Linked DNA regions of Solanum lycopersicum. The protein of the gene in region 2 interacts with the protein of the main gene of each other region in a pairwise test. Links are inferred from orthologs where the notes say so. Each region holds a gene or a part of one and is shown on either strand. Other genes may lie near its edges.

Evidence for each region.
Region 1: the proteins of RBR1 (region 2) and transcription factor E2FA interact in binary tests that used the Arabidopsis thaliana proteins (3 or more experiments, as listed by UniProt). The link is inferred for Solanum lycopersicum from reciprocal best matches to the Arabidopsis thaliana genes RBR1 and E2F3.
Region 3: the proteins of RBR1 (region 2) and 101255150 interact in binary tests that used the Arabidopsis thaliana proteins (3 or more experiments, as listed by UniProt). The link is inferred for Solanum lycopersicum from reciprocal best matches to the Arabidopsis thaliana genes RBR1 and SCR.

What each region holds. Positions count from the first base shown.
Region 1 is NC_090800.1:2,212,712-2,216,468, reverse strand, and holds the start of transcription factor E2FA, read right to left. Parts: upstream 2,693-3,757; 5' UTR 2,481-2,692; coding exon 2,238-2,480; intron 412-2,237; coding exon 222-411; intron 50-221; coding exon 1-49. UniProt on the Arabidopsis thaliana protein: Transcription activator that binds DNA cooperatively with DP proteins through the E2 recognition site, 5'-TTTC[CG]CGC-3' found in the promoter region of a number of genes whose products are involved in cell cycle regulation or in DNA replication.
Region 2 is NC_090808.1:68,046,297-68,050,053, reverse strand, and holds the start of RBR1 (retinoblastoma-related protein 1), read right to left. Parts: upstream 2,243-3,757; 5' UTR 2,103-2,242; coding exon 2,013-2,102; intron 1,353-2,012; coding exon 1,248-1,352; intron 1,148-1,247; coding exon 1,005-1,147; intron 923-1,004; coding exon 826-922; intron 586-825; coding exon 539-585; intron 420-538; coding exon 221-419; intron 1-220. UniProt on the Arabidopsis thaliana protein: Key regulator of entry into cell division. Acts as a transcription repressor of E2F target genes, whose activity is required for progress from the G1 to the S phase of the cell cycle.
Region 3 is NC_090809.1:57,241,698-57,245,454, reverse strand, and holds the start of 101255150 (protein SCARECROW), read left to right. Parts: upstream 1-1,042; 5' UTR 1,043-1,188; intron 1,189-1,242; exon of another isoform or gene 1,243-1,673; 5' UTR 1,674-1,756; coding exon 1,757-3,757. UniProt on the Arabidopsis thaliana protein: Transcription factor required for quiescent center cells specification and maintenance of surrounding stem cells, and for the asymmetric cell division involved in radial pattern formation in roots.

The DNA.
Region 1 (3,757 bases), on a different chromosome or scaffold from region 2:
AATGAACTGTCGTAGCGGCAGCTTGCAGGTGTAAGGGGAGAAGGAGAACCTGCGAAATCGCAATCCACAAGTTAATTAAGACCATATAAACCAGTGCAACCAAGACAGTACAGACCGTTTTCTATAAATAACGTTTAGATAGATGCGGAGGGAAATAAAATTTGAACATTTACTCGTGTCCAGTTACAATCAAGACATAAAAAATTAGACACAAGCCTCACCAGCATTATAGACAGGAGTTTGAGGTCCAGATTTATTATTTTTTGTGGCTCTTGACCGTCCATGTGCTCTTCCTCCTTTTCCAGACACAGGCGTTCCAAGAGGACTATTGGCCACATCTGCATACCCGGAATTAGCAGTCCAGTCACTGGACTCAACCTCTTTAATATAGCCTGTCTTCCGCTTTAGTGCCTACAGGCGCATTAAGTGTGCAAAGTAGAAATAAGTGATCAACAAGTAAAACATAGCAAACTGAGGAACAATTACGACTAAACTCTGAATTTTCCCTGGGATAAATTAGAGTATATAGAATTAAAAAATTCTTGACTTGGGCACACAATTATCAAACTATAAACAACAAGGGTGGACAGCAGTGTAAGAAGGCTCCCTCTGTGCAGGCTCCAGGGAAGGTGACTGTAGACAGATAACTTCCTTATGGAGAGGCTGGTTCCAAGACATAAGCACTAAACCTTTCACACCTAAAATAATATACCTATAGAAGGAAAGCCATAACTAACAGAGCTTCAGTTTAATTTAGTGCTAACTAATTAGAGAACACAAACAAGTCCCAATTGTTACTTAAACAAAGGAATTAATTCTGAAGATGAACAAACAATAAAAATCCTCCCACTCAATCTTCTCTAGCTATCAATAGGACTCAAAACATGAATGACACCAATAATATCCACATACAAAAAGAAAATGGCATTCAGGTTTCATGAGGTTTATAAGATCAACAAAGCTACATTACATGTTCAACTATGTAACCAAATTGGTTGTCACGTGTGCAAACATGAATGACAGAACAGCATAAATCACAACCAACTCACTTTGACTCATTTACTCCTTTTTACCAAATTTAGCCAGCAGTATCTGGATGTTTCAGCTAACAAGAGGCAAATGACCTCCGGGGAAATTAGAAATGAAAAACCAAAGGCAGCTTAACATCTTAACCCAACAAAAGCCAATTAGCTACATACCAAATACCATCCATTAGCTTAACAAACCCAATACCAGGTTCCAACCACAATAATTAGCCTCAAAAGTTATTCACACATTGAAATACAAATATTGCAGATCAACAAAATCGCAAGTACCACAAAATGCACAAAACAGCAACAACTTAACTCGAAATTACACCTTTTTAACGACATATAATCAAACCCCACAATATATCTTTCTTCAAAATATCTTATTCATGTCTCTACTAATCAATCCCAGTTATAATCTGAAGTTCCATTTCAAAAGGCAAGACACACTACCAAAGTCCAACATCAATCCCAATTAAAAGCATCCATAAACGACAATCTTAGTTCAAACAAGAATGCTAGTAACCACAAAATGCACAAAAACAGCAACAATTGAACTCAAAATTACACCTTTTTAGCTACGTTTAATCAAACCCCACAAGATATTCCTTTGAAATCTCTAATTCACGTCTCCACTACTCTATCCCACCTCTAATTTAAAGTTCCCATATTTCAAAATGCAAAACTCACTAATAAAATCAAACAGCAATCCTCAACAACTACACTATTAGCTCAAACAAGAATGCAAGTAAACACAAAATGCACAGAAACAGCAACAATTGAACTCAAAATTACATCTTTTTAGCTACATTTAATCAAACCTAACAAAATATCCTCCTTCGAAATCTCTAATTTACGTCTCCACTCCTTAATCTCACCTCTAATCTAAAGTTCCCATATTTCAAAACGTAAACCCACTATTAGAATCAAACAGCAATCCCCAACAACTACACTATAAGCTCAAACAAGAATGCTATTTACTGCAAAATGCACAAAAACAGCAACAATTCAACTCAAAATTACATCTTTTTAGCTACATTTAATCAAACCCCACAAGATATATTTCTTCAAAACATCTAATTTCAAGTCTCAACTACTTAATCTAAAGTTCCCATATTTCAAAACACAAAAACCCACTACACAAAATCAAACAGCAATCCCCATAAAAAAACAACACTAATAACTCAAACAAGAATCCAACAAACTCACAGGTGACTTAACCACAATAGCTTCAGGCTGCAAACTAGCAGACCCAATTCTAGAATCAACACCAGGTATAGAAAATCGGTGGTAATCCTCAGGTGTAACAAAAGGTGGCCTCATAGAAGCAAAGGGTAAGTATCTTTTGATCGGATGAGAGATCTGACTCCTCCCTCCACCGTTTACAACGGCGGATGATGACTGAGCAGTGGGTGGCGCCGCCCCACCAGTGGATGCACTAGAACCTGTCATTTTTTCCCTAGTTTTGTAATCAAAAGATATACCCTTTGAACTCAAGATTTTTGGATTGTTGAAGAGAAGGGTTCTGAGGGGATGGGGTGGGGGTGGGGTAGGGGTAAAGGGGGTAGGGGGTAAGGGGGGGGGGTAGGGGGTAAGGGTTTCTCTGTGAAAGGCAAAAAGGAGAAAACGAGGGAAGGGAGGGAATTTTGGTTTTTGTATATATGTGGAGGGAAGAGAAAATGTTAATGTTTTGTTTTTATTCATTTTGGTCCATATGAATACTTATTATTTGCAATTTGACCCTTCTATTGGTAAAAAATTTACTATTTTATTTTTATTTTTTTTGGGCGATCAAATGACGGAAGTCAAAAATTAGGGTAGAAAGTTACGTCGAAGAAACATGATTCTAGTAGGTAGGGGTGGCGTTCGCCATTCGTCGTTTGGCTCTTTGGTTTGCAGTTTTGAAAAAGTGTGGAGTGAATACCAAACCAAACTTAGTTCGATTCGGTTCGTTTTTTTCAATTAAAAATGATTTTTTCGATGAGAATGAAGAATAAATGAGGGTAAAATAAAAAAAAAGGTGTGAGATATATAAGAAAATTTAAAACTATGTTAAGTGATTGATGTTTCTCGTCAATATGGAACAGTTATTGTACTTAAATATTGTGTCACGCCGCTGCTCGAGGAAGACAAGGACGAAGATGAGTTTTTTACGTAATGTATATCGATAAAAATATGTTTGAATTTCTCTATTTTTCAATATTTATGTTCACCCTAATAATAGGAGCAACTTTTTTTGTTTGCAGTTTTGAAAAAGTGTGCGCTGAATACCGAACCAAACTAGTTCAATTCAGTTTGTTTTTTTTCAATTTGTTTTTAAAAATGAATTTTTCGATGAGAATGAAGAATATAAAACGAGGGTAAAATTAAAAAAGTGTGAGATATTTAAGAATCTTTAAAACTATGCTAAATGATGACGTGTCTCGTCAATATGGAACAGTTATTGTACTTAATTATTGCGTCACTCTGCTGCGCGAGGAGGACAAGGATGAAAATGAGTTTCTTACGTAACGTACATTGATAAAACTACGTTTAAATTCCTCTATTTTTCAATATTTATGCCCATCCTAATAGTAGGAGCAACTTTTCTACTCCCATCTTATACTAATCACTACTATTAATCCTATATTTTCTTATAATCTTATTATTTTTGTTTTAGATACTTCTCTTTTTTGCATTTTTATTATCGTAGATTCTACAAAAAATATTTTTCTTTAGTTGAGTGTTTA
Region 2 (3,757 bases):
GTTTCCATTGAGTTTCACCTTAAGCACTCTAGTGCTTGTACTAAACATTTACGTAATGCTAAGCACCGAACCTGAGGTGCACCTAGCTTCGTGACTTAACCTTTACAACATTGCACACAAGTTAAACAGAGTCTATTATTAGCATGCCCAATACAACATACACACAACATAATAAACCAGACAGAATCCAAGGAATCAACTAAATAGAGTAGAAACTGACCAGCACAGAAACTAAACCATTTGTGCATGTCACAAGGTCCTTGAAGCGGCTGAATACATGTTCGCGAAGTGAAAGAAAAAGCAACCAGCCAAAACGATAATACTGTGGCAAGAGGACAATCGAATTAGAAGTAGCAGACTGATTTACTTCATTGTTATCACTTGACAAAAACAGCTCCTGATATGCGCGCTTGTAGTACCTAAAAGCAGTAAAATTGTTATCAGATGTACCACAAAAAGCCACATCCTGAGTATTAACGGAATGAGCATCACAAAGCAATATAAGTAGAGGAAATTAGTGCTTGAAAAGAGTACTCACTTGCTTAAAAGGCTCAAATGCACAAAGTTGGTCTGCAATTCCTTTGCCTAATACAACAGTTCAAATAAATTTTAAGTGCATGAATAAATGCTTAATAATAATATATAACTCCTCTGTCCTAATACATGTGGCACACTTTCCTTTTTAGTGTACAAAAAAGAATGTCACAGTCTATAATTGGAAACAACGGTGTCACCACCAACTGTGCCACATTGTTAGGACAAAGAGAGCCAATAGAAACAACAATAGCTGCAGAACATGAGATTAACCCTCCACGTCATCATTACCTGAAGTCTCTTCTCCCAATCTGAACCATATAGGTTGCTTAATACTGGACCAACTTTAACAATAAACTGTGGTAATTCTTTGAAGAAATCTAGAACACTAAAAAACGAAACAAAATTCATAAGAACAGAGATAAAATCACGACTTTTACAAGAAACACAAGAACATTAGATAAACGCACTTGAGTTTCGCCCCTCGCAGAATTTGGCATAGATCAAATCCATTTCCTTCATTCCCATTACTCGAATTCCTAGCTTCATTCTCACTTAATCTCTTCACCGAGAACAGAACAAACACAAACCAATACCGTTCAACTTCCTCCGGCTGTTAAAGAACACACTCAAGTCAATTCTAGTCCATATTAAAACCACCTAACTTGTCATTTCACACTAAATTAGCAAAAGATAGAATCATGAGGACTTACCGTTATAGCTCCAATAGCAGCATTATTTGACAGTAAAAGATGTTTACTGTCCATAAACAGCTTTCTAGCTTCTACCATAAAACTCTCACCCATCGACAATCCATTCTGTAAATCAAACAACAAATGTTAAAAAATACTAAAATCCAAAGTTTACCATATCAGTAACAGAACAAAATTTTTGCATCATGGGTCTTTGAGCTACAAGTAGAAAATGCAACACAAGAAACTCATTCTGTAAATCAAACAAATGAAAAAACTACTAAAATTCGCCTAAAAACAAAAAATTAAAATGGCAACACCCATAAAAGAAACCAGAAAAAGAACAAATTTTGCACACATGGGCCTCTTAGCTACGATTTCAAAATGCAGGAAACAAGAAACACATTCTGTAAATCAAACAACAAACGTAATAATCCCACCTAAAAAAAGTTAAAATCGTCATATCCATAAACAAAACCAGAAAAGAACAAAATTTGCATACATGGGTCTCGACGCTACAACTAAAAAAATGCAGAAAACAAGAAACTCATTCTGTAAATCAAACAACAAATGCTAAAAATACTAAAATCGCCAAACGCATAACAGAAACCGTTAAAGAACAAATATTTCACACATGGGGTTTCACAAAAATGATTTTTTTAAACAAATTAACCAACAAAACACAACAACGACCAAATCTTCCTTCTTTCTCAACTAAATCAAGCCCAAAAAAATCAGCTGAAAGTATTTACAACCTAAAATCAAACTCAACAAAACTAAGCGTACCTTGCAGAAATCAGTAAATCGAACTTCAAGAGAGTCCACCGAACCATTCTCTTCAGAATTCGAATGATTCTTCAGCTCCTCCATATTCATCCACAACTAACTAAAGAAACCCAAACCCAGAACCCAAAATTCTACAAATTTCTCAGATCTGTATAATTAGATCCAAATTCTTCAAAAACTAAAAAACCCCTAATTTTCCCTCGCCTTTCTCTCTCTATCTCTATGACCAATTTTGCTTCTTTTTTTTTTTTATTTGTTTGTTTGCTCTGTTTAGCTATAAACCCTAACTTTAGGGCGGGAAAATACATAAAGTGTATGTCATATGGTTTATGTCCATACATAGCCGACAACGTTGTAGGATTAGCCAATCAAAATTCGACACGTGTTTTGTCTGTTAGGTTTTTTACCGCCAAATTTCCGTCTTTAGCTTAACGAGTCTCCCGCGAGAAACTACTGTTTGTTAAAAAAATTAAAAAATGAAACGCCTGAATTATTATTTATTACCGAATTTTCGTTTTTTGGGTAAGTTATATTAATTTATTTTACCTAATATAATTGATGTTTTAGTGTGTAATATTAGTTGTTACTGTTTTCGTAATAGTTATTATATCATGATTTATCGTATTCGAGGTAAGAATCTTTTAAAAATAACTTTTCTATCTCCACGTATAGAATAAAATTTGTGTATACTTTATTCTCTCTGAATCCACGTGTGGAATCTCAATATTGTTGTTTGTTGTGTATTAATGAGATAATGAAATTATGAATTTATTAATTATGTGAAATTGCAAATGAAATTAATTAATTAATTTTTACAATTGCAAATGTAAAGGATATGTATCTAGGCCCATAAATAATCTGGATATTGACCAAATCCAGCCCAGGCCCATTAATAAGCATATTTAAGGAACATAGCACTTTGTTTTCTCCCTTTTAATATTTAAGGACCGATATTCGATGTCTTAACTTGACATAGCATTAAAACATTTGATGTTTCGATAATTACATTATTTTGTTATTATTATTATTTTCGTAGTAATTGTTATATCTGTTTCACTGTCGTTTTTCCTTTTCATGTACTCGAGTCGAGAGTCTTTTGAAAATAGTCTTACCAGCTTCACGTGGTAATGATAAAGTTTGCATATATTCTACTCCCAAAGCCCCCACGAGCATGATTTAAATATTGTTGTTGTATATTAATTATATATTAGTTAGTAAACGTAAAGGATATATATATATATATATATATATATATATATATATATGGAAAAATTACTGAAATACACGTCAATGTTTTTCTTATTTCCAATATCTCCTTCTATTTTAAAAAAAAACTCTAAAATTTCTTATTCCTTTAGTGTATCCAAGCTACATATTAATGTATCTGAATCAGTCTTTAATGTATCTGAGCTACATATTAATGAATCTGAGTCAGTCTTTAGTGTATCCGATTTATTTTATAATATATTCGGGCTAGTTTTTAATGTATTCGAGCTAAATGTTATGTATCTCAGATGGTTTTAAATGTATCTCGAGATATTCTTTAATGTGTCTGAGCTACATATTATGTATCCAACTTGTGTTATATATATATATATATATATATATATACCCATAAATGATCTGGCTTTTGGCCCAATCCAGCCCAGGCCCATTAATAAGTATACATGATATAGCACATTTTGTTTTTCTCCCTTAGTTGCGACAAAAGTGATTACTATTGAAACCTCATGACAATATCTTGT
Region 3 (3,757 bases), on a different chromosome or scaffold from region 2:
TATATAGTACCTTATTCCATTTTATGGTCCTGTCGACAATTTCATAGAAAGCAATGCTGTGAGTATCCGATCCCCAACGACCTTTTTGGCTATCTTATCTCGAGCTGTGAGCTATCATAGAAATCACCATATTTGTGTCCGTGTCCATTTGTTAATAACCTATAAATTATCTTAAATTATTCTTAGTCTTTAGTCGTTTGGAGTGAATAATAATTTATATTATTTAAATACATGCGATTAAGGTATCGTCTTATTTATATTGTTAATTGTTATTAATTATATTGTAATGTTATTTTTTTAACGAAATAAATTCATTATATATAAATTTATGGGTACTCCTAATCATTTTTAGAATTGAAGGATATAAATCATATGTGTTGAAATAATCAAGTATTTTACGGAAAATTTGGGGTCAAACACATGGTGAAACTTCATCCAAATCTAATTTACCAAGAATATTCGAGAATTTAGGATCAAACGCTAGCTTAATTTGTTGTTTAGTCTGTAAGTTTGAGATAACTTATCTCCGGATTAATAATTAATATCGGATGAAATTATCCTTCCTCTTGGGTGATATAATAATCTCGGGATAAAATAGGTGATGATAGAAATATCCCTTTAAACCCTTTCTATATATTACTTTTCACATTCATTGAAGATATTTTTCTTATAATTTATATAATGCATATTATTTTGAATATAACATATCAAACACTCAATAAATATAATCTCATTATATCTTCTTTCGTCATGATTTATCTCATCATAGCTTAAATTTAAACAAAAACAATTTCTTTTTCCACATTTTTTAAAAGTTATATTTATATTTAAACACAACTTCAATATCGTAAAAAAATATTTTTAATTATTTTCTTCAAAATTTACATTTTTAGATCGAAATGCCTACTTACTTAAAATTAAATCTAAGTAATCGTTTGATTAAGAAGAAGTTATTCCGTATGAACTAAGTTATGTTGTGTAAAATTTGTTATTCTATATATTATCTTACCATGACTCTAAAGTTAAAAATTCATGTGGACCGGACATATAAGTTGAAGAAATAATAAGTAGCTAAAGTCAAACGGACGAAGACGCCTCACTAATCGAGATGAGAAAGAAAGCAAAGAAGAAGAAAACAAAAGTTTCCATCATTTCAGCCAACACCTACACTTAACTTGCCAGAGAAAGGTACCTATCTCCACTGCTCATAAAAAAAAAAAAAAAAAAAGCCCAACTCTCTTCATTCCATAACTATAAAATATTTTTTTATTATATGTTCACAATATCAACATTTTTGCAATATACATAGAAAAATCTAGACTCGTAGCACTAATAGCCGCAATAATAATTGTTGGGGAAAAAGAGGAAAAGATAGCTCATGGATTACAAAATGTTTTTTTATATGATATGATTAATAAGTTTTCAACAACTTCGGTACTTTATGTCGTCAATAAATTCCATTTTTCTTAGCCTCTTTCTCATTGTCAATACTGAAATTGCATATAAATCCAAAATGCAACCAGTCAAGTGTTTATAAACAAGTATAGTAGAGTTGCCCTAGGTGAAGAACGTGTTGTTTGTGTTGCATTGTGGTTATTTGATTGAGAAAATTAAACCACAGAATCCCAATGCTGGCTGTCTAAATCTTTTCATCGCTATATGTTTGGATTCAGGTAGCTGATTTTACTAACCCGATCCCAGTATATGATGGAGATGAAACATTTCATAGAGTTTGAGAATCTATTTCATAGTAAACATGGCCAAGGCTTTACCTGTGAGTGGTGAGAACTGCACCGGTGTGAACGTCGTCGGTGATAGTAGTGGTGAGAAGACAAGCAAGCAACTTTTCCACTGTGAAAACGGAAAAATGGTTAGGAAGAGAGCGGCGTCTGACATGGAGATCCAGACCGGCGCCGGTGAAGAGCATAGATATTTACGCCGGCCTGCTATGATAGGGGGGTCTCATTCTCAGGTTGGTGATTCAAGGGTTTGTGGTAATAGTAATTTTGGTCATGGTATGAACAGTAATTTGACAACGACGATGACGATGACGACTCAGGTTTCTAACTACTCCACTATGCAAATGTTACCTTCTTCCACGAACTTGTGCGGTGTGACGTCAAGAGGAGGGCCTGGGATTGATACCGGATTTTCTAATTCAACCCCAAACCTAACTTACACAGACGCCATAACATCGCATCATCAGCCACAAGGTACTCAAACCCAGAACAACAACAGTCAATCCCCATCTGTTTGTGTTTTCTCCGGTCTGCCGCTTTTTCCTCCAGATAGAAACCGCCAAAACAGTGGTTTACTACTGCAACAACCTCCTGCTGCTGCAGCAGCTGTTGTATCTTCACCTCTTACAACTGGAAGAATCGATTCCATGGAGGATAGTACGTCGGCAACGGCATGGATTGACAGTATTATAAAGGATTTAATCAACAGCTCCGCACAAGTATCGGTGCCCCAACTCATACAGAATGTAAGGGAGATTATTCACCCTTGCAATCCGTATCTCGCATCTCTTCTCGAGTACAGGCTTCGCTCTCTCACTAGTAATAATAATGGCGGTGCTGATCAAAATGACCCCATGGAGTGCTGGAGAAGAAAAGAATCGCTTCCGGCACAGCTCGCTGGTTTACAACAGGCCCAAAATAATGCCAATTTATTGCAGCACAATATTTTATCCCTTCCTGATTCCTCAAATAATCAATACTTAAACTGGGATATAGCTTTGCCAAACAGCCATAACGCTCCGGTAGCGCCTTCTCATAACCAGCACCAGCAGCTAGGCGGCAATAATCCTACTGCAACAGATCTTTCATTTGTTACACTTTCTCCTCAAGTGCAGCAGCAGCAACAACAACAACAACAAGAATCTCCCCATTCTCATTCTCAGCAACAGGCCGCAGTAGACTTAGATCAACAACAGAAGCAGCAGCAATCTTCTAGTTCTCTATCTCCAACATCGGTAGCCGACAATAGCGCCAAAACAAAAACTTCAACCCCAGCTCCACCAGTTCCGATCAACACGTACCGAGAAAAAAAGGAAGAAGAACGACAACAGAAGAGGGATGAAGAAGGATTACACCTTCTGACCTTGCTATTGCAATGTGCAGAAGCCGTATCCGCTGATAATTTAGAAGAGGCAAATAAAATGCTATTAGAAGTATCCGAACTCTCCACACCGTTCGGCACATCTGCACAGCGTGTTGCAGCATATTTCTCAGAAGCCATGTCAGCAAGGCTGTTGAATTCATGCTTAGGAATATACGCAGCCCTACCAATGACCAGCGTCCCCATGCTTTACACACAGAAAATGGCATCTGCTTTCCAGGTGTTTAACGGAATCAGCCCTTTCATCAAATTCTCACATTTCACAGCCAATCAAGCTATACAAGAAGCTTTCGAGAGAGAAGACCGGGTACACATAATCGACCTTGATATAATGCAAGGTCTTCAATGGCCCGGTCTTTTCCACATCTTGGCTTCCAGGCCCGGTGGACCTCCTTACGTTCGGCTCACGGGGCTTGGAACCTCGATGGATGCTCTTGAAGCAACCGGCAAACGACTATCCGATTTTGCCGAACGATTAGGCCTTCCTTTCGAGTTTTTACCAGTTGCTGATAAAGTTGGAAACTTAGACCCTGAGAAATTGAATGTGAGCAAAAGAGAAGCTGTAGCAGTTCATTGGTTGCAACATTCCCTTTACGATGTTACTGGCAGCGACCCTAATACACTCTCCCTCTTACAA